Linked DNA regions of Struthio camelus. The protein of the gene in region 1 interacts with the protein of each later gene in a pairwise test. Links are inferred from orthologs where the notes say so. Each region holds a gene or a part of one and is shown in the gene's direction. Other genes may lie near its edges. The genes, in order: EXOC2 and RALB.

Region 1 (11,236 bases):
GTATTTTTTTCCTTTGAGAAAGAAATGTGCCATAATTTTAAGTAGTTTTAGCTTTCAATTTTTTTTTTGGATCTACTTTTTTAAAATACACATAAGTGATGAAGGTTAGTTCCAAGAAGTATTTAAACGGATGCAACTTACTACTGACATCCTTGACAGAGCTGTAGTATACAGCATTCAGTATTTTTAGCTGCACAAAGTAAATTAATAATTTATTTCATTGGTGCTGTTTAGAGAAACAGTGCCTCTGGGTCAGTAGTGCACAGATTCCTTGGATAGGCCTTGAAAGGGAAGAATTAGGGTGGTGTTAGCCAAGAAAGTAAAACAGAGAGAGAATTTTGTGTACTGTTGGAGACGGTTTAAAATGTAAAAGACTATATTTTTTGTTTGATGTGGAAAATCTGACTGTATGTGTTCTGGAGGAAAACTCAAAATGTTATGTGCATTAATTTATATTTTGTTTCTCTTAAAGCATGCCAGAAATCATCTGGGGGCAAACACTGATCAGTAAGTTGTTTCTCTCTCTCTCGCCTTCCAGCTAAGATAAATATATTTCACTTCATAATGAGGACTTCTGGCTTAAAATCCTAGATAATGGTCAAAATGCTGCCAAGGTTAAAATGCCAAAAAGAATTTACTTCTGGACCTATTTATTTAAAAAAGAAATAAAAGCATAAAATTTAAGTAGCTCACTTCCTGGATGTTGGTTTCAGAACATATATCCAGGTGATTTTCAATTAGGAGGAAGCAGAAAGCAGCTGGCCTTGGGTATTAAATGCAACACAGGAAATATGCCTGGACTTGGGAATATTTGTATGAATTTTGCATAAAATATACGGCAACTGCTAAAAGCCAACATCTGCAAGAATGTTCCGTCTATGGATCAAGGGGGAAAAAAAAGCAAAGTAGAAACAGCAAAGTGAAGAAACCTTGTGCAATGATTATAGATTTCCTACAGCAGGTAAAGAAGGGTTGGGCTTCTTGGCTCTGCTCCTGGTTCTACTACCATAACTTTGGCAAGTTACTGACCTCTGGTTCAGAAGACACCACTCGTTGGCGTGGAACTAGCCCTGTTGATTTCAATCAGGTTTAAAATTACGTACACATAGAAAAAAAGGAGGAGCTAGAGAATTATAGATCGTATAACCTCAGTCTGCAGAAATAATCGCGCAAACAATCTGTTAGTGTTAGAAGAAAACGTGACATGGATTTGTCACAAACAACTTCTGTCAAACCAATCGGATTTCCTTTTACAATAAGGTAATAGGTGTTGTACACAGGGAAGAAGTAGGAAAATGTCAGGTATCTTCATTCTAGTAAGGCATTTGTGAATGTTTCCCAAATGTAAGAAAAGACATGTATGTTCTGGGTTGAAAATCCGACAGGATTGGAAAAAGAATAGTTGGGGAAGAGTTAGCAAAACGGTACACTATCAAAATGGAAAGAGATAGTGAAAGATTTTCCTGCAGGGTCTATCCTGAATCTGATGCTGCTTATTAAACATCTGAATAATAGAAGAAATTAAGCTTGTTACAGTTGCAGAGGACATGAAGAAGAGAGCAGCTAATAGTGTATTAGAGAAGAGAATTAGAATTAAGAGTGATTTTGACAAACTAGAGAATTTGTTTAAATAAAGCCAAAGAAGACAGTACTCGATAGGTGCAAGCGTAGTATATTGCACACAGAATCATCCATTCCCCAGAAACAGGAAGGGAAAAAGTAAACATGGTTACAGTTGCATAGAAAAAGATGTAGAGTGAATCACAGGCCAAACACGAGTCAACATTGTTATGCTGTTGTCAAAAGGCAAATGCCGTAAAAGCATGTAGGAACAGGAAGATAGCCTGCCAAATGTGCAAAGCAATTGTTTTGCTCTGCTCACCAATGGTGAGACTTCAGCTGGAACTAATTCTCTTTTAAATGTTTTTCACCTGGAGCACACTTGGCTTTGGGCATTGCATTTACAGAATGACATTGAATGATTGGAGAAGAGTCCAGAAGAGATCAAGCTCGATTACCAATCTAGAAAATATAAAACATGAGGAGACTAATGGGACTGTTTGGCCTAAAGAGGAAAAGAATGTAGAGGGGACAGAGTCTTTAAACACGTAAGAGGCTGGTTCAGGGAGGAAGCAAACAGTCAGTCTGAGTCCAGTGAAGACAGAACTATCAGCAACAGACTGAAATTGCAATAAGGAATATTCAGGTTACACATTAGGAAAAATGCCCGTAATGATAAGGGTAGTAAAGCAATGGAATATATTGCCTGAGGAGATGATAAAAGCACCATACTGAGAAGTCTCTAAGAACAAGACTGAAAAAACATTTATGCTATAACAAAGGAATAGTTGATCCTATCTTGCGGTAAGGAAAAGGACGAGAAAAGATGATTTCTCGATATCATTTTCAGCCTTATGAGCCTTAGCTTTTTTCTGTTCCTTAGATTTCACTAATTCACTAATAATATTAAACTCACAAAAGCAAATACAAGCATGGAGAGTTCTGTTTTTGATGTTCCCACGTCAAGAAAAGAAGGGTGACAGCTGTAAGTTTGAAAGCCTACGGGAAGGAAAACAACATTTCTCTGGAATGGCTGTTACACAGTAAGGAATCAAAATTGAATCCATATAGTTTATCAAGAGAAGATGAAGGAGTGAATCCACTATATTTTACAAGTATCTTCAAAAGGAAGACATTTCCGATAACAAAAAGCAATCTAGGAGCAGAAAAATGCAACAATCAGATGCTGAAGCTAGACAAATTTAGCTTTCAAATAAAATTTATATTTGTGTCCATTATTTTTTTCATGTTAGGGTGACTAATCACTGTTAAATCTCAGGAAATACAGCGATGCATTTCCCATTTCTCCCACTCTTTAAAATCAAACGTAGATGTCTAAGAAACAACCACACGAAGAGCTTGGTTTGGGAATGGCTGCAGGAATGTCTACAGCTTTTAATATTCAGGTTAGACAAGATGATCACAATAATGCCTCTTGGCTTTCAAATCTGTTTATCCAACTTTGTAAAGAGATGTATTGTTTGCAGATCACTGTCAAATCTGCATAAATGGATTAGCAAAAGGCATGGATGAGCAATTACTTTTCTGACCTCTTTGAGGTATAATACACTTACTATTTACCAGGACATTATGTTACAACTTGTCATTTCTTTCCTCAATTTTAATAGCATAGATTAATCTCTTTAATGGTGCCTGGAGTTCCATGGAGTAATATATTTATATTAACAGCATTATACACGACAGCATATATATATACTACATATTATGATCTCTCATATTTATGAGATATATACATATATGGATGGATGGATGAATGGATATAATAAGAGCACTAATTTTCCTCCATTTGTCCTGAAGATATGTGAGGCAGGGTTTATTTTCTCCACTGGGTCCAATCCATAGTCAGTTACTGTCACCTTTGTTTTGGAGACACTGAATGGGGAGGTGATGGTAACCACATGGTCATTGTACATCAGCTGGAAAAAAATACCCACTGTAGATTCAGTGAAGCGCTGCACACAGGAGCGCTCCTCATCGGCTGCCTTATCCAGGCCCCCTGGAGATCATAAAAGTCCTAGATGCCACTGTTGGCAGTAGGAGAATTTGCGTATGTGTATGCCTGAGATGAACCTACATATACTATAGGTAAGGTTTCTGTTGTTGCTGAGTTTACTCGGGTTGTGCTGTTCTGACAGGTTCACCAGGACAAAGATCTGAACAAAAATATGGCCAAGCAGCAGCTGAGAAAAAGCTTGTTTAAACCTCTAAAAATGAAGGGAAGAGAGCTACTAAATTCTGGGCTGTTTATTGCAAAATCTTCTCCGCAGATAGCTCCTTTATGGACCCCCACTAAAGTCAACAGGCTTTTTTGGGCACAGGTATCCACTCACAGAAAGCATTTGGCAGGGCTAGGACCCAAGTGTGTACAGTATGAGACGGTGCCTTCTGTATCAACCAAACCTTTCAATTTAGTGGTTTTATTTGGCACATCTGCTGACAAGCTTCTAATGAGATGATGCTAACAGAATGTCATGAAAGAAAAGCATCATTTTGAAACGGGTGGCAAATAGATTTTTTTTTTTAATGTCATGCCAACTTTACTTTTTGTGCCAACTTTTCTTAACCTCATATTTGCAAAAAAACTGCTGAGTCACAAATAATAACTTTGGAAATTATTAGGGACAGGTACCAAACACTCTCATTGTTCCCCAGATGGATGCTATGTGCTGACTTAAACGAGCAAGAAGAAAGAGTCAGAAAAGCACTGTTTGTTCATGTGCTGAGATATTACAGCCTAGTAACGTAGCTTGGGCAACTCTCACCTCTGGAAAAAAAAGTCAGAGAAATAACTTTTCTTGGCCATAATGCTTCTTGAAAGTTCTTTGAGGTTTTATGAAAGTTAATTTATTTTCCCACAAAGTATATGTTAGGTCAAGGTCAGTGAAACTGAGCAACTGATTATTCCTTCTGTGTTTGCTTTCTGTTTTCCCTCTCCTTTCCACTTAGACTCCATCTGAACTGGGTTTTTACAGATGAATTCCAAACAATCCTAGCAAAAATGGAAAAAGGACAATCCTCCTGTCCCTTCCCAAAAAGGAAAAGAGCCTCTGTTCAGAGGTGTCTTGGGGAGACAGCAGGTTTAGTTAAAAATATTCTAATTTTTTTCATTGCAAAATGAAGATTCTTTTGCATTACTTAGCTCTAACAGATAGCATTGCCTGCCTGCTCACTTGGCTGCCAGACAGCCCAGGCTTCCCCAGCATCCACGGCAGCTGTATCCTGTTTCTGACCAGCTCTGCGGAGACTGCGGTAGTTCCAGAAAGTCGCTGCCTGGGGTGGGGTCAGCCCATTAGAGGAATAACCTGAAAAAAAGCTTCCATAAGTCTCCTAAAGCAGAATTTTACAGGTTTCCCCCCTTCAGTTCTGAGGATATATATATATTTCTGACAGATCGGATGAAAAATCTTGTTATCGCTCCTGACCTCAAAATAAAATTTAAAGGGGAGGGAAATTCCAGCTTGTTGTCCAGCTCAGGCCATTCAGCATTTTAGAGACTGAGCAACTTAAACTATACTCAGAAGAACCATGCAGGCAGTGCAGTGTTGCTGTAAATAAGCTCAGGGCTAGATCTGCTATGCACTTAACTATACGCAAAGTCTGACAGAGCTGTATGCCTGACTCTACTCATCTGGGGAGTAATGGGAGAAGGGTCAGACACAGCAAGGTTAGGCCAGAAATGCCCACTTTAGGTCTGGCTGGGATAGATCCTTTGGGGTTTTTTTTGTTTTATTAATAAATTTTAAAGTGATTTTCTGAAGAAGAATATTTGCAAACCAAAAAGTCACCCCGCGGCTACACCTCGACTCTGGACTTGCCTCCAAAGGCAATTGATACCGACGTTTTTATCTGGACACAGGCACAAGTGGTCCCCAGCCCTGGAGGCACCATGGCCATCCCTTTCCGTGCCGTGACCACACCTGCAGTTTACAGACAAAACTCAGGCATGAGGCGACCAAGAGAAGCAAGAAAACCAACCGCCCCACCAACCAACTGCCCTGCTCTCCACCCCCACGCATGTTTCTTCTTCCCCACCTTCCTCCCGCACACAGTCAAACAGCCCCCAAAGTCCCAGGCCCGGAATCTCATGCCAAAAACACGGAGGTCCCCAAATTCCACACACTTCTGGAAGAATTTCTGCTTGCTGCAACCTCGATACAGCGCTCGGGGAAAACCAAATCTTTATTATTGTTACTTCTATTACGTTTTGTGCTTTTTCATTACTCTGTTTCACCTCCTTTTCCACAAGAGGACCAACTCTTGGTGCTCGACGGCACCTTTATTTGCTGGCTGCTTGTTTCCAGTGTGTGCGGGGGGGTGAGGGGAAGGGAGGTGTGGGGTGTGAAGCGGAGCACGGCGGGGGGTGGGTTTGGGGTGTGCAGGACGGCAGGTGTGGGCTGTGAAACTGTGGGGTGTGAAGTGGTGTGGGGGGGGCAGGTGTGGGGTGTGAAGCGGTGCGTAGGGGGCCGGCGTGGGGTGCGTGGGTGGATGTGGGGGGCTTGGGGTGTGCGGGGGGCCGGTGTGGGGTGCGTGGGTGGATGTGGGGGGGGCCGCAGCCAAGGCTCCCTCCACCAGCCCGACTCCGCCAGACGCCACGGTCTGCGCCTTTAAGGGGGCGGGGCTTGGGAGCACGACGGCCGTTGGGAGCGGCCGCTTCTCCTCGATTGCTCCGGGTTCCATCGATTTTATCGGGCAGCGGCTGCAGGTGCCTGTGTCTGCCGGACGCGGAGGCGCTGCTGGGAGCGGAGCTGCCCCAGGTGCCGGATACAAACTCGGCGGCAGCGGCGGCGGCGGCCGGTGAGTGACAATCTGTGGCCTCCCGCCCCCCTGTGCTTCCGCTGGGCTCTGCGGAGCCGGCTCTCAGCGGGGCAGCTCCGGCTTCTTCCCCCCGCTGGGGCGGAGACCGTTGCCCTGCCGTCGGCAGCCCCGTCTCCTTCCTCCCCTCCCGGGGGAAAGGGGGGGGGGTCGGGCTGGCGCCCGCCGGGCGGGGTTGAGTGCCGCGTTCCAAGCCCCGCCCCTGCCTCGGGAGCGGGGACGGAGGTGCCGTTAACGGCCGTTGGGGCCGGGGCGGGGGGAGGTGGAAGGAGTCGTTTGTTCTCTGCCGTCTCGCGCTTTGAGGCCTCCCTCGAGGCACCTGCTGGCTCCGCCCCGCCCCAGGGGTCCGCCGCTACCTGTCCGCCCCGGCTTGTCTGCCTGAGACTCGGCCCTGGGCGGGGGGAAGGGGGACGGCCGGGCCGCCTGGCGGGGGAGGGAAACTGTGACTGCCCGGCTTCAGCAGCCCGCCTGCCCTGCCCTGCCCCCAGCCAGCTGACGGGAGGCAGGGCACCGCTGACAGGGCAAGGAGATGCGGGCTCGTTTGCGGCCCCTCCGGGAGGGGAGGGTGCGCCCGCGGTGTCTTGCTCCCAGCTGGGTGTTTGTGTGGGGGACGGTGCCCGGGAGAGGTTACACTCGAGCCAGGTAGTGCTCTGTCTCGGCTCTATACCGAGAGGGAGCTTGTGAGGGAGCTCTTTTCGGGGGCTTGTGGGACAGGCCCTGAAAGCCTGCGGACAGAGTGTCATGTAGAGGGTTTTACCCGTTTCATTCCTCACAATGGTCTCTCGGGAACACTGTAAAGTTGCTTCTGTTCCGCCTTGGTTATACCCTGAACTGAGACTTGTCTAGAACGACCTTAAATTATTATTGTGACCGTGTTGGGCACGGGCAGTAGAGGAAATAAGCAGGGGAGGGCACGGTCTGACTCCTGAAGAGCTGGTTACTCGAGGGTCTGATTTCTTAAATCCACATTCAGTGGTACGGCAAGTTTTCAGAAACTGCTTACCGAAATAAATGCACAATTAGGCAAATATAATAAGAAGACAGTATAATGTAGTTTGTTTGGAACAAACCAAAATAGCATATAATGATTAAGAGATGATTACTATCATTGATAACTAACTGGTAGTGATACATTGCCTCCACATGATACATTTTTTTGTGACCTTTTTTTTTCTTTTTTTGTCCTTTCTGCCCAGATGTAAATTTCTCCCTCACTTGGACAGCATTGCAGTCCAGAAGGGTCTATGAGCTGGTGACCAAACGTCTTCCCTCCCTGCTTCTCCAATATTTTAACTGGGAAGCTGAATAGGATATTTTTTCAGGGGGAATGGATGTCTGAGCACGGGAATGACCCTGTTTCCAAAGGAGAGCTTGTCATTCTCTCCAGGTTCACTGCTTGCTCTTTGTTAGATTAACAGTTTTTAACTATATACTAGAAAGCTTTGAAGTGAAAGCCAATAAAGTATTAAGCAATCTTAGCTCTGACAGACCATCATATTAAATCTAAAGTATGAATATCCACACTTTAAATTTTAGTTTAAAATAGTAGTCTTATTATAACTTCCCTGACTTTCTGATCATTCTTAAAATAAGTAAACTTTTTTCTTCCTGTAATGATTTGTGTGTGTTTCAGTACTATAAACCTTTTGGTTTGAATTTGCTTTTGATAAAGTCATCAGAATAGTTAAAGGGCTTCTTTTTTTTTTTTTTTTCTCTAAAGTGCAGATGAACAACTTTGTGACTTAGGAAAAAGGTCTATTTTCTTCTTCAGGTGAAGAAGAAAATAGCTGTTTGATTCTTGCTATCTGTCACAACTTGCACTGACCCAGCAAGAAGCAGCAAAAGGCGTGCCCTGCTGCTGCGTTCTTTCCCATGGATAGCTTAGTTTACAGTTTTTGTGGTTTATGCCCGCCCTCGGAAAATGATGCTTTTACTCATATGGGATTTTTGTTGTCTTAATATTCATATGAAACAGGATGCGATTACTTTCTTTATGCTAGTGTGACTTATGTCAGTAAAAATGCCACTAATTTACATTGTAATGCCAAGTTTTTTTTCCTCTGTATGGGAAATTTAGTCTTTTTAGTATGTGTCAGAGGTGAAGCTATTTAATTAAAGCATGTTACCAATCAAACGTGTGTGTTTTTTTTTTTTTTGATACAGTAAGGTAGAGTTGTCTTGGGTTTTCATGGTCTTGGTTCAGTAAATCACACTTTTTCAGAGACTTAGTTCAGACACTTAATTCTTTTATATTTGCTTTATCAGAAATTCGTAGTAAATAGCCTAAGCAATGGACATTTTTCAAAATCAATCAAAAACTCCTTTTAAGTCTAAGTCATTAACTTAAACAGCAAGAAATAACTTTAATAACTAATTCAACACCTTGTCCTTTGAGCAGTGTTTTTGTGTGCGCGTGGGGAAACTGGTTCATTTTCAGTAAAAGAGGTAACTAATGTTCACAGAATAATTTTGAATCTGTAGCATTCAGATCTTAGTATTTTGAGTAGCAGGATTTCTTGCAATTCTGAAGCATTTTTTTTTTTTGGTAGCTGTTGAGAGTTCTTGAGGCAAAAACAGACAATAAAGATATAACATGTAATCTACTGATAGTTTGCCCAAGGTCCCATTAGAAAGGATCTGTATCCACTGATAATTAATGCAGTTTGTTCTTATGCTGCTCCTCCCAATGAAGTTGAACTAAAGCAATTAAGTGGGTAGACTAGAAACACAGAGTCCACGGCCTCTTAGTGGTGAAAATTTTAAGGTATGTTGTGTTAAACCTTACTTTAATTTATTTCAATGTATTTATTCATTTAGCTGTAAATTCAGTACGTCTTAAGCACTACACTTGGAAATAAACGTCAATTTTGAGTTACTTTAATTCTATTCCTTCTGGTCTTTACCCCTGAATCTACTTCATTAAAAATAAATAAATAGAAATTGCAATAGGATGGTGACAGAAAGCTGAATGTAAAAGGTGTTTTTAAAAGCATGGATGCTGACAGCTATTCAAAGAATACATGAAACAATGTCCAGTTTTGTATTCCAGCACAAAACAGGCCTATGAAAGTCTGAGGGACATTACCTGCTTGTATTTTGAATGGCTGTATGTCACTACTTAGTTATGTAAACAAAGGTACATTTAAAAAAAAAAAAAAATTCCACACAAGAAGTTTGTAGTACTTCATTTCAAAATGAAGGACTCGAAAATAGCATTTAGAAGAATGCATGTGTAATGCTGCATTTATTTCTGAGAGCTTCTCAGTAAGAGTGGAACCTGCTGGTGTACTTAAAAGTCAGCTGAAGGTTCAAAATCTTCTGAAAGAACAGCTAAGTAAATATATTTCAGCAGTAATAAGACATTCACTCTTCAGCTTTTCTTTGATTTGTCTTAGACTGTCTACTTTCTGTAAATCTGTGGTGTGTAACATTGTGTTTCAAATCGCTTTTTCTAAGAATAGGGAAAGGGTGCTTGGCAGTGAAGGAGATTTTGTTTGCAAAGGTGCTTGTAGGATGAAGGATGACTAGATAGTGCATGCACAACAATCTGTGTTTACAGCTCACAAAGTATCAATTCAGAGATAAAACTGATCTAAATTGTCTTTATACCTTAATCTGGAATTTATTCCCTATTGCTTATGTGTCTGTACTTCAGTTCAAAAGCAATTGGTTTGCAACTTGTTCTCCTGGTGTCAAAACTCTAGAGGAAGAGGAAAGGACAGGAGGGAGAATCTCATTCTGTGATCTTCTAAGAAAAGAAACCTGAAGCGATTTTTCAAAAAAAAAAATTGAGTAATTATATAAACGTGTAAAAAAAGGATTAATTGCATGATTGGTATGTTGCAGTTTGGAATAGGAAAAATAATCTTAAATATTTAATGTTTTAAGGAAAACTAAACTGAAGATCTCTCTCTCTCCAGTGTATTTTGAGTATAGGGAGAAATTATTTTTATGTTTACTTTTTATATTATTTAGAAAGTATTTAGTGCCTTTTCTTTAAAAGGAAATTGATCAGTAGCCTTTTTTAAAAAAAGAAATGTTAACTAATCAATGCAGACATTAAGTTCGACATTTTCAGTAGAAAATACTCGGATTGCACTCACAGATGGGTGTGAAATCCTGTGTTTCCTTTCCATGTTTGTTTGTTTTGTTTTTAAGGAAAACAAAACTTCTAAGACAACAAGCCCTTAATGGATCTATTTTTCCCTTGACCTTAAGGGAACTACAGATTTCCAGTTTAATTCTCAAAAGCAGACTTTAGACTGTATTCCACAGAAGCCAGTGGAGGAGATTCTGGCAATGCAAAAGTCTCTGTGAATCAGCTAAGTCTAAATATACCAACATTTATATTGTTATACTTTGTAATTTTTCTTTCACTTTGTGCATCGGTGTAAAGTAATGTACTCTGTATTTGAAAGTTCCCCATATGCTTTGAAAAGTCTTTAGCAGTTATATGTTTAGTGTTAGGTTAAGCAAAAGTTCCTTTTTAAATGTTCACTTGTTCAAATGTGTATTGCAGATAAATATAATTTTTAAAGATAATCCCCAGAATTCTCAATTAAAAAAGCAGTAACCTTAAATTTTATATTTTAGAACACTTTATATTTTGTAACACTTCAAATCTCGTGTTTTCAACATATACCCCTTGCATCTTGTTGGAAAAGTGAACACAAGTGTTTTTGGCAAAAATCTAAGGAGCTACACAGAAAGATGATGTATTTTTGTCATGTTTCCCTTTCATCAGTATGGAAGGCTATGGAACTTCCATTCCTCACAAGACAACTTCAGTACTCTGGAAACACAGTAATTCCATACAGGAGATGGGATTTTAGGTGGGTGACTG
Region 2 (11,082 bases), on another chromosome or scaffold:
GAGTGAGGAAGTGATGACAAAGAAAATCTTTTGCTGAACAGGTAGTTTTTGTCTTCCTCCCCTTTTCCCCTGAATGGGTTAAACTAGAAGCTTGTAGGGCTTGGTGAAATTAAAACAGGAACAAGCAAGTGGAGGGTTCTCGCATTCTGGCATTCGAGTTTCAGGTCCGTGACCGAAGCTGAGGTTCAGTTCGAGATTCTCAGCTCACGTGAGTGCTTTTGAACTGATGTGGGAACAGTAATCTGTACACTGCTCAGATGGTCTTGGGATTTTGGGACACAAAGATTGTGTCCAGCAGTTCAGGCTGATGTTGTGTGGGTTTGAACTAAGCAAGTTTAGTGCTTCATCACGGCAAACTGGAAGCAGGGACTTTATAAACTCCATGGTGTTAATGAGTAGTGAACATACTGAGTAGTCCCTCGACTGTTAAGATTAATGAAGGTTTTCCTTTAGCCAGAGGTGTTAGCAGCCTTGTTTTTTTGTGACAGATTTCATAGGTTTAAAACTCCTAACATTCTAGGTGCACTAGAATGCACAAAGTTAAAGTGCTGAGGTCCCGTTTGTCTCCAGATTTGTTTCAACAATATTTCGTCATAGAGAGAAGTCACAGTGAAGAGAGCTTCCAGAGACATTTTTCTGTCTGGGCCTCTTGCAAATGTGCTATTTAGGAGGTGAACACAGACACTCCAAACAGCTAAGGCTGACAGCATTTGAATTGCGTTTACCAATATTAGTGGAAAATGAACTGCGTTTGTTTTAGCTGGCAAATAATCGAGTCTTTCTATTTTGAGAGACTTTGGGAAAGCAGGGCAAAGACAAGGCAGAGCTGACCATATGAATTAGCAGGTGTGGTTAGTTAGAAGAATTGAAGAAAAAGCAGCAGTTTGGTATTTTAATTTTAATGAATGCTTATTGAATGGGAAGGTAACGACTTCTTTAGTCTCTACTTACCTTTAGCCATTGTGAGTTCTGGTTACCACATTACCACTTTACTGATTAATTAGGACAATTCAAAATGAACATAGAGTTACATGAGATTTAGACTGGATAATTTCCCTTGTGAAAATATCTAAGACAACTTAGCACTCCTGTATCGACTCAGGACTAGGAGAAAAGAGAGTGTGTGTTGAAGACAGGCTGGGACATTTCTTGCACAGACCATTAGTGGAAAGGGTAAATGGGAGAGCAGGGATTCAGCACCTGACATCCGTCACACCTAAGTCTGTTGCAGAGCTGGAACAACTTCGACCCTCTCTGTTCTCCCATAGAAACAGAGGGAAACCTGGAGAAGTATCCGTAGCTGTAGGCTTTCTGCAGGGAAGGATCTTCTGCCTTGCAAGCTGCTTGAGAGAAGCTGGCAAAGATCTTGGTATGAACTTAGCCTTTTGTGTCCGTGTTTCTCCATCTGTCAAAAAGGCATAAACGTTCCCTAATTCCCAAGGTTACTGTGAGAATTAATCAGTTAACATGTTTACGTCACTAAGCATGATTTCTGTAATATTTTCCCATTCCATTCTAAACCACCTAGACTTCAGTTCCTAGGAATACAAACTCATCTCACCCTTGTCTAAGTCTGTTTCCCTCTTTTCAGATATCCATATTCCACTTTGCTTTCTGCTACTGCAAAAAGCAGTACTTTAGGACAGCAGTGCTTTAGGACACCTGAAAGCATTTTAACAGTCGCACTGATTTTTGTTCTGAGCAATGAAATAATCACCAAAGGAAAAGTAATTCTTCTCTAGTTTATTTTCTTTTCTTTTTTATTAATGCTGGTAAATGATTTACGCTTCCTAGTGCTCATTGTTAAAATTTCTAATGATTGCTCCAACTCCTCAGTGCTATCGTGAGTAACAATCTTAGCATATGTTTATAAAGCACCTTTCAGTCCAGGGATCTTTGAGAGTTAACGGTGATCTAAACTGAGTTTAAATATATATATGTATGCATCAGTATAAATATCATGTGTGTCTGTGTTTGTATGCTGCAGGATCTGTGCCACTTGCAACTTTCTTTGGAAAAGAACACAACTGCAGACCAAAATATTTGCAGTATTTTAAATGTGATCTGTACTATCCGACTGAAATTGCACAAGGAACCTAAGAAAGCAGAATGATCTGCAGGCTCCTGTAATCAACTTCTTGCCAGCACTGCCAAGGTATTTTTAGCTATGGCACAAGGTTGAAGATTTATTTAGGGATGTAAGAGGTACCCAAATCTGGAGGTGGTGACCATTTTAATTATGGTCCTGCTGCCTTCTGGTCATCCAAGTTATCCTCCCACACACCACCTTCCTTGGCCTGAAAGCATCCCTTTCTTCTTTCCTTCCCTGCCATGATCCCTTTTCCTGCTACTCACCGCTCTCTCTCCTACTGCCGTCTATAACACTACAGTCTCAGTTTTTCCTCATTCCACCTATTGTGGTTCCCTCCAACTTCCTTCCCAAGCATCAAACTACCTCCCCATCCAGGCTGTCTACCAGATACCATATGTTAACACGGGGAAACATCCACAGTCTTGTATGTTTACAGAGGAAGGCGAGTTACCCTTTGCATGGACTGGCATCAAAATGCTGAGTTCTAAGAAGCATCTGCTCACATTTCTATCACCTATATAAATAATAACACTGCAAAACATTAAATTAGACAGCACCGTTCATATGGTACAAGGTCTCACAACATACAGCAATGAGCACTTAGAATTTCTGATAAACCTGTTACATTAAAGTCCAGTGGTAATTCAAGAACCAGCACAGGCACTACTTAGGAACTCAGCAAGTTCACAGATGACCACCAAATTGAGAGAACAGTCAACGTGCTGGAGTGCAAGGCTGCTGTTCAGAAGGATCTTGACAGGCTGAAGAAAGGAGTTGTCAGAAATCTCATGAAGGGCAAATGCAATGTCCTGCACCATCAACAGAATAACCCCATGCAATAGGCCAGGGCCAACTAGCAAAATAGAAACTTTTTTCTGCAAAAAGGCATCTGGGGTTTCTGATGGGCCACAAACTGAACACTAGTCAACAGCATGCCCTTGTGGTGATGAAGACTGTTTACTAGGCTGAATTACTAAGAGTACAGTCAAGTGGTTGAGTGAAGTGATTATTCCTTTCTATTTAGCATTTGTGAGATGATATCTGGAGAACTATGTCCAGTTTTGAGCTCTTCAGTACAAGAGAGATTGACAAATTGGAACAAGTCCAGCGGAGGGCCTCCAAGATGGTTATGTGTCTAGAGCATCTGACATAGCTGAGAGCTGTCTTTGATCAGCCTGAAGAAGAGAAGGCTGAGGAGGCATATAATTATTGCCTTCTACTGCTTAGTGGATGGAGCCAGACTATTCTCAGAGTTGCACAGTGAAAGGCTGAAAAGCAACACACACAATTGCAGCAAGAGAAATTCAAGGTAAATATACAGAAAAAATCTCTTCACAGTGAGGGTGGCCAAACCCTTCAATAGGTTGCCCAGTGAGACTGGGGAATCTCCAGCCTTGGAGATTATTCAGACCTGGGCTTGACAAGGCCCTGGGCAAACTGACCTAACATTGAAGTTAGCCCTGTTTCAAGTGGGGATTGGACCAGATGATCTCCAAAGGTTCCTTCTAACCAAAATTATTTATGATTCTGTAATTATAATTAAGTCTTGAAGGAAAATAGGGAGAAGAGGAAACACACAAGAATACAAGAGAAAGAAAGATGGTCTTCTGACAAGAAAAAAAGGAATACAAGGCAAACAAACTAGAATTGTGCACAATTAGTCTGCTTCTCATCTTGCTTGCACTGAGGTAATCCAAGGAGTCAGATGGACGTAAAATCAGTAAAGAATCAAGGACAGACTCAATGTTTGTGGTTACTCTAGGCTTCCTTCACCTGTCCAGACTCAAGGCTGATTACTAATGTGTATCTTCTCTTCAAAATATCCTCAAAGAGACTATGCTGAGATACTACCTATGTTATTTCCTGCAGATTGAGATGGGAACAGGATGCAGGCAGCACCTCCACCTCTGCAGAGCTCAGGCGGAGTAATGACTAAGGTGGCGCAGCCAGAACCTTGCTGTAGAGTCATCCTGTGGGGCAGGAGAGGAGTGAGAACAGACCAGCAGTACCTCTGCCCCCTTCATTGCAAGCAGCAGTTCCAGCTCCATCGTCCTCTGAGCATTTAAGAGTATAGACAACACACACACACACACACACACACACACACACACACACAACCAATTATAGTTGGAGTTTTACTGTGTAGATACCTGACAAATGACCAGAAATCTGAAATGTCCAAACTGAACCCAGACCTGTGACAAGTCTAGACTGTTTTGGGGTGTCTTCTGAAACCTATCATCTACTGGGTAAGGGTACGTGCAGGGTTTACAATCCTACTAAAAATCAACAGGAACAGAAATGTATTCCAATTTTTGACAGGAGAACCCTCGAATTCTACAAAAGCGAATGTACTTACTGATCTTGATTCAAACTCCTCAACCTCACCCACAATTTATTGTTTGCCCAATCTAAGATAGCACTAGCCTTTACTGCCAAGAGCAACTAAGGATGATTAATACTTGATTCTGACCTACAAATAATTGGAAAGGTCCCTAGAATCTTTAGGAACAAAATGTTTGTGTCTTTCAGTTGATTTTACTACTAGTGCTTTTCGAAGGTTTATTTAGGGGACATATCACCATTAGATGAACAAGTATTGATAATACCAACAGTTGTTTAATAACTATTAAGTATAGTTCTTCCACTAAAACAAGTTCCTGAAATTGAAAGTCCGCTAGCAAAGGGCACAAACAGAACAAGAAACCTGGCACCAAAACATTTCTGTTCAAACAACAGAACTGAGAGAGCGACACCCTCTTGCACAGCTCAGTAGAAAGGGCTGGGCTGACAAATAGTGAAACGTGCAAAGCCCAATCACTAAACTGCTTTAGTATGATAAGGTTCCCCCAGTCCAAGCTTGTATTTAAACCAAAAACCAATACAGGCGCTTGAAAATGATAGTGACCTCTAGTATATCACTCTGTCCTAAACTCATGGGTGGCTTCATGCTGAATCTGAGATGAATTGCATTAAAAAAAAAAAATTAACACAAAAAAAAAATTGGAAAGGCAAGCACAAAGCAATAACAGAATTTAGCAATTCCAAACACAACATAAAAATGTTATGTGCTCGAAGGCTGTACTAAATTTTCCGCTGAGAGTGTATTATGAGATCATAACAAAAACAAAAATATCCTGACAATTTGAGAGAAAAAATGAGTGACTTATTAGACCTATTGATAAAGCTGGAAAGAACAGATGAGCTTCCAGGCATGCAGGTGCTTCTTTGGATCTGAAATAGAAACAGCAAACTTCAAAGCTAAATCCAGGTTAAGAACAATTGTGCTGAGTTAGAACATGTGCTTTGCTTCAAAATGTTTTTTTTTTCTTTTTTAAGGGCTATAAATGATGATTTGGGAAATAGATTTGTAATGATATAGCATTGTAAATGGGTTATTTTTTCTAAAGTAGGCTTTAAATTAGAAAGGGATCTAGGGGATAAAATTTGCCCTAGCAAAACCACAGTGATTTTCAGTGAGATTTACAAGCCTATTTGCTTACGTTGCTTTAGAAAAATCTTAACGAGATTCCCAAGCCACTTGGGTGCTTTATAAAGGTTTTACTTCCACTGCGAAAGGCAATAAACAGGTCAGGGTACTGCCAAGGAATGGCTACGCATGGGTCCTTGTGGTCGAACCCAACAGCGGCTACAGAGGGGCAACATTGCTGGGGGCTGGCAGGAATATATGCCTGAATAGCTCCAGGAACAAAATCAAAGCCTAAGATCAGACATAAGCACAGACAACGAACAGTGACATAGAGCAGTAAACTGCGCTCTGAGGTTGCTCAGCCGTAATGCATCTTTTAGGCTAGTCCTAGTAGCAGTGTAAATATTGTTTTCTAAGTTTGTCATTTGAATTTATTGTAACTTTTCATTAGAGGGCAGGGAGGGGGAAGCAGAAAAGTACTTTTCTGACATCAGCCATTCAGGAATTTTTGAAGCTGTTACTTTTTCAATCATCTCCGACAGTTTCCTTGTTTTCAGAATGAGCACATGATATCATATCCTGAGCCCTTCCCTTTTCTTGCAGCTTTCTGAGGCACTAGGAGGAGTCCAGCCACAGTCATCCTGTGAACTGGTGTGGAGCAGTGTTGTGGAGCTGCCTCTGCCTGCCTTGTTCCCGCTCCCAAAGAAAGAGCTGCTCTAGGACCGACGACCCCGCCAAGCACAGTGAGTATCAGCTAAGAAAGCAAACAGTCAGTCCAGCTTGTCGAGTTGCATCAGGGGAAGATCATGCGCGTATCTATTTATGTACGGGCGTAGTTAAGGACGCAAAGGCAAGTGAAAGGAGAACACACTTTTATTTCCCATCACTGAAGTGAGAAGAGAAAGGCGATTCCTGGCCCACCTGGGGTGAGCAAACAGGATAGAGCAATGGAGGAGGCTCCCAGGGTGCCAAGACTGGACTATGGGTAGGTGCTAGTTGCAGGAGGGGTACAAGGTGCATTTACTCGGCAAGGCAATATAGCATTCGCTGTGGACAGACAGGAAAAAACAACTGCTAAATGTACACGCAAGCAGCCCTGAGTGAGCACGTGGCATTGTATTAACGCTATATGACACGTATCTCTTGTTTATTCTTAATTATGTTTGACTTCATGAATGCAGTAGTGCTAGCTAGTAATAAACAACAACAAAAAAAAGAGAATAGAAGAGCTAGTTTCCTGTAGTAATCCCTGCTCATCCCTAAGCCATACAGGCCAAGTAAACATATTAACAGTGAGTCATTGGCTCTTTTTAGTATAACTGCATAATCTTTTTGTCGTTGTTCTTGTTGTTATTTCTGTGCTTTTCCATCTTAGCCTTTTAGCTCTGTAACACAGAATGAAAGAAGGGCTAAATGTAAAGTCTCTGCCATTCTGAGGGAGGGTCTAAATTTTTATCTTCGATGTCTCTGCAATGCTAACTTAGTAGAAACTAGTTACACAAACTATATATTTATAGTTATATTTGTGAAATGTAAATAGCTTAATAGTATAATGTTCCAGAATTCACAGCATAAAGAATGTTATAATTAAAGTGAATAATCCATCTGCATGTATATCTACCAAATTATATTGTAGAAGTTATGTATTCAGATAGAAAGTTGCTCTTAAAGGGATAGAAGCCTTGGGTTTTTCCTGTGAACACTGCTGTCGTAGAGTAACACACACCAACTTCACTCCAAAGGTTTGTAAAAGGTTTGTGAAACAAAGTAGGGATCGCACTTTACATGAAGGCCTCGCTCTGTTTTGAGTGGAACCAACAGAAAGCTCTAGTGCTGTTTTTGTGAATAAATAAGATAACAATAACTGGCTTCGGAAAAGTGCCAATCTGTTGTGCCTTTTCCCCAGACAGTCTTTGGTGATACAAGCAAGCCATACAGGGAACGTGTCGCCCTTGAACATGTCATTGATCACGCTACTTTATCCATTTTTTTGTTTGCTCACTGTGGTTTTGATCATCTCATTGACACAACAACGTTAGTTGCTTTTCATTATTTTAGCCGTATTGTGAGCTTTCCAGTAAAGAAATGTACGGTGGAGAATCACCTTCAATTTAAAGGCTGCTGGACCCTCTTCTATTGCTGACAGAGTTAATTTCCTGCCATTTCCTGCAACGTGGTTATTGTAAGAGTGGAAAGATACTAAAAATGGGCTAGTGAGCTGCTTGCCTAGTTTAAGTAAAGTTGAGAGTTTTGTACTCGGCGCGATAATTAGCCCATCTACTGCCGAAGTCTGCCTCCGACAGTGACTTCTACTAGAGCCTCCTGATAAAGATGCATGTCAACCAAGCGCTGCTTTTCATTCCCCTTAGAGGTAAATGTGCTCATGGATCATAACAGGGAACGTTTACCTTAGTCTTTGAACTATGTGCCCTACTAAAGAATGACCATTTATTTTTACTGTTAGTTATAGTTTAGTCAGTGTCTCGTTTGTGGCTATACGTTTTTCCAATTTATAAACTCTCGTCAAGGGCTTCACCGGCAGGTTTTTCTGTAGTTAATTATTTTGTTGTCATGGTTAAAAAATTCACAGATGAAAGAGATGTGCGTTTCCTTTATAGAAACTGCCCAGCTCTGCTCTTGTATCCTGTTTACATATGTGTTTAATAATAAATTTTCTGCCACCTTCCATCCAAGAACTTTTAGGTGAGCAGCAAATGTTTAATTAATTAATCTCACACAGAACTTGTGAGGTGGGTTCCCTCATTTTACAGGTGAGACAGAGAGTGAGACAGTTAAATTAAATGACTTAATATCACACAGTGAGTCACAGTGCTAAAGCTGAAAATGGAACCAGCTTATGCCTCCTGGTTCCTTGCCCTGTATTTTAATCATCGAGCCAGACTTAACTCTGAAGTTGAGAGAACTTCTTAAATGACTAAAATAATTGTTCCCAGTTGCACAGGGGATTGTTACGTTATAATTCTCTTAAGCAGCTAAAGCGCTTGCTATCTTTGGTTAGGACATTTTTAGTCTTTCTTGCTCAGATGTAGCTTCAGGTTATAGCTGGACAAATTCTGTTTACAATAATATTGAACTTTAAAAGTACTCTTAAACACATCTCCGCTAAAAAACAAGGAACACAAAACTGACAGCAGTCTCTTTGCTTTCAATGTAGCAATGCCTTTTAGCACATTCTCAACAGCAGTTCCACAAAGCGATATCCACCACTTTAATAAATGGAGCATAGTAAAGTTATTGCCCAGCAGAAAGCAAAAGATATAAACTGTTGGATATGCCGTCATGACTAAATGAAAACGTAGCCTGAAGCGCAGAAGAGCAATTGCATCTCAAGCAGTATCTGCTTAGATGTGCAGTTCTGAACTACGTGCTGTGTCATCTCTGAATAAACCAGTACAAAAAGGGATACAATCCTTAAAAATATGTTTAAGTGAATAGTATCTGGGTTCAGGCTAATGGTATGCCTAATATACCAGGCCAATGGTATAACAAGAAAGTATATAACAAGATAATATATAACAAAAGCTTTATAGCTTTGCTGAGCATAGTCCACATATTTGTTTGTGCTGCTGTGACATAGATAGCTTTTTCCAGTCCTCGCTATCTTACCTGTTTGGTAGTGGGTACCCACTTCTTTTCTGTATAGGACCAGAAAATATTTATGTAGGCAAAAGAGAGAGAGAGAGAGTCAGGAAAGGGAATGGAGGAATAATATTGCTGTGCCTTGCTCCCTATTAAACCTGAGTATAGACACAGCTGTCTGTTATGCAAGCTCATCCAGTGCTTAGTATCATACAATATTTCTGGCATGTGCAAGACAAGCAGCACAAGACTGTGGCCAGCTCCTAGATTTTTATAAGAACTTTTGCCATATATAATGCGTAGGACATTGCTGGGCAAGCAGCCTGCCATCTTAATTGCAAGTTAACAACAAAATACCTTAAAAATTCAACTATTTCATTGCTGAATGCAAATTGCGCTCCTAAGTGGTGAAATCAGTCGATAAGTTTTGGCATGCTATATGGCAGCAACTCAAAAGCACTTTAACATGTTGTATTTGTAAAGAAACAGGAGAGACACATTTAGCCTGCTAAATTGAGGGTTAGGCTGAAGGTGCAAGGTAAGAAGCCAACAAGAGAAGCTCCAGGAAGGCCATTCTGTCTCCTCCCCAAGGTCAATGCTCCTAATTTACCATGGTGTTTTCCTTTTGGGTCTATCTTCTCTTTAACTGTGAGCATATTTTACGCTTGTCACTACGGATCGGTCATCAGTAGTCAACTGTCATTGGTCAGAGTTCTGCTCCAGCTTCTCTTTCGGTTTCGGTTAGAGACAAAGGTGCTTTTCTCACCGACTTCAGAAAGCGCGTCTGTGCCTGCCAGGGCTTAGAGGTGCTGCCTCACAAGGGAGTTGCTGAAAACCACACATGAATTGTCCGGCACAAAGTGGGCAGAAGAAAAGATTTCCGTGACTCTTACAGACTTTGAAACCAAATCAAAGCACTACAAATAACTGAAAATATTTCTGTGACTATTCACTCATGTCCCCTTTTATCTATAGCTCCTATGACTAACCCACCAAATGTGAGCAACGGTAATAATGTTTGAGGAGCTGCAAATGTTAATTGCACAGTAGGTAATATTTGTGAAACACAAGGTTTGAAATTATAGATGTGTCTAGCTGTTCTCTTCCAGTTTAGGAATAGAAACAATACTCTGTGGTCTGTGTGTCTGTTCGAAACTAACCAAAACCGTAGAAATGTTACAAATGAAATACGTGTGTGTACAGTCCCGGGGCAGAGAATCGCTTTCCGCAACCGTTCAGCTAATAGCTATGAAGGATGAGTCAGCTTGAGAAAATCAGAAATTGTTCACGGACAGTCTGAATGAGAATGGCGAATTTATAGTTTATTATCTCATTTGACAAGAGGTCTGACAAAACATGGGCCTTGAACTGTGGATGTAGAAAGAGTTATACTTGCTTCATCTATTATTGAGGAGAGGGTATAACAAGCCAACCTCTATCATTAATTGGACGTTGTGCCATTTTAAACATTAAATTTATTTAATAACCCATTTTCAGTGAAAACCTGAATGCATCTCATCTACTTTGGTAATCTCATTACTAGTCATTGCTCTTATATAGACTTATCACTGTCTTTTTCTACTGATTCAGCACAGAGAGGAAACGTTTTGGGAACGTCGGTTCTTTGCAGCAGTGGGGATTATAGGCATGGCAACTATAGGTGTTTTTGAAAGATATATGCTTATTTTATTTCATTCCCTGTAAGAGAGTGAGAGGAAAACTGAGGTACTCTGAAGCATTAATGTAATAAATACCTTGTTATGTAGATATGATTTGCAGAATTGAGAAAGCATTTGTGGTAATATGTTACTTGTACATCAGAACAAGGAAATGAAAATGAGAAGAAAGTGAAAAGAAATGCATGATGGGGGGGGGGTTGACCAAATTAATTCCATCATACAAGCACAGCGAAAGGTACAAAGTTAATCAATACCACAAGTGATGAAAAATGCATTATCAG

Evidence for each region.
Region 2: the proteins of EXOC2 (region 1) and RALB interact in a two-hybrid assay, tested with the Homo sapiens proteins (2 studies listed by BioGRID). The link is inferred for Struthio camelus from reciprocal best matches to the Homo sapiens genes EXOC2 and RALB.

Annotation. Positions count from the first base shown.
Region 1 is NC_090943.1:104,984,031-104,995,266, reverse strand, and holds the start of EXOC2 (exocyst complex component 2), read left to right. Parts: upstream 1-6,240; 5' UTR 6,241-6,375; intron 6,376-11,236. UniProt on the Homo sapiens protein: Component of the exocyst complex involved in the docking of exocytic vesicles with fusion sites on the plasma membrane.
Region 2 is NC_090947.1:32,122,098-32,133,179, forward strand, and holds the start of RALB (ras-related protein Ral-B), read left to right. Parts: upstream 1-6,125; 5' UTR 6,126-6,265; intron 6,266-10,678; exon of another isoform or gene 10,679-11,082. UniProt on the Homo sapiens protein: Multifunctional GTPase involved in a variety of cellular processes including gene expression, cell migration, cell proliferation, oncogenic transformation and membrane trafficking.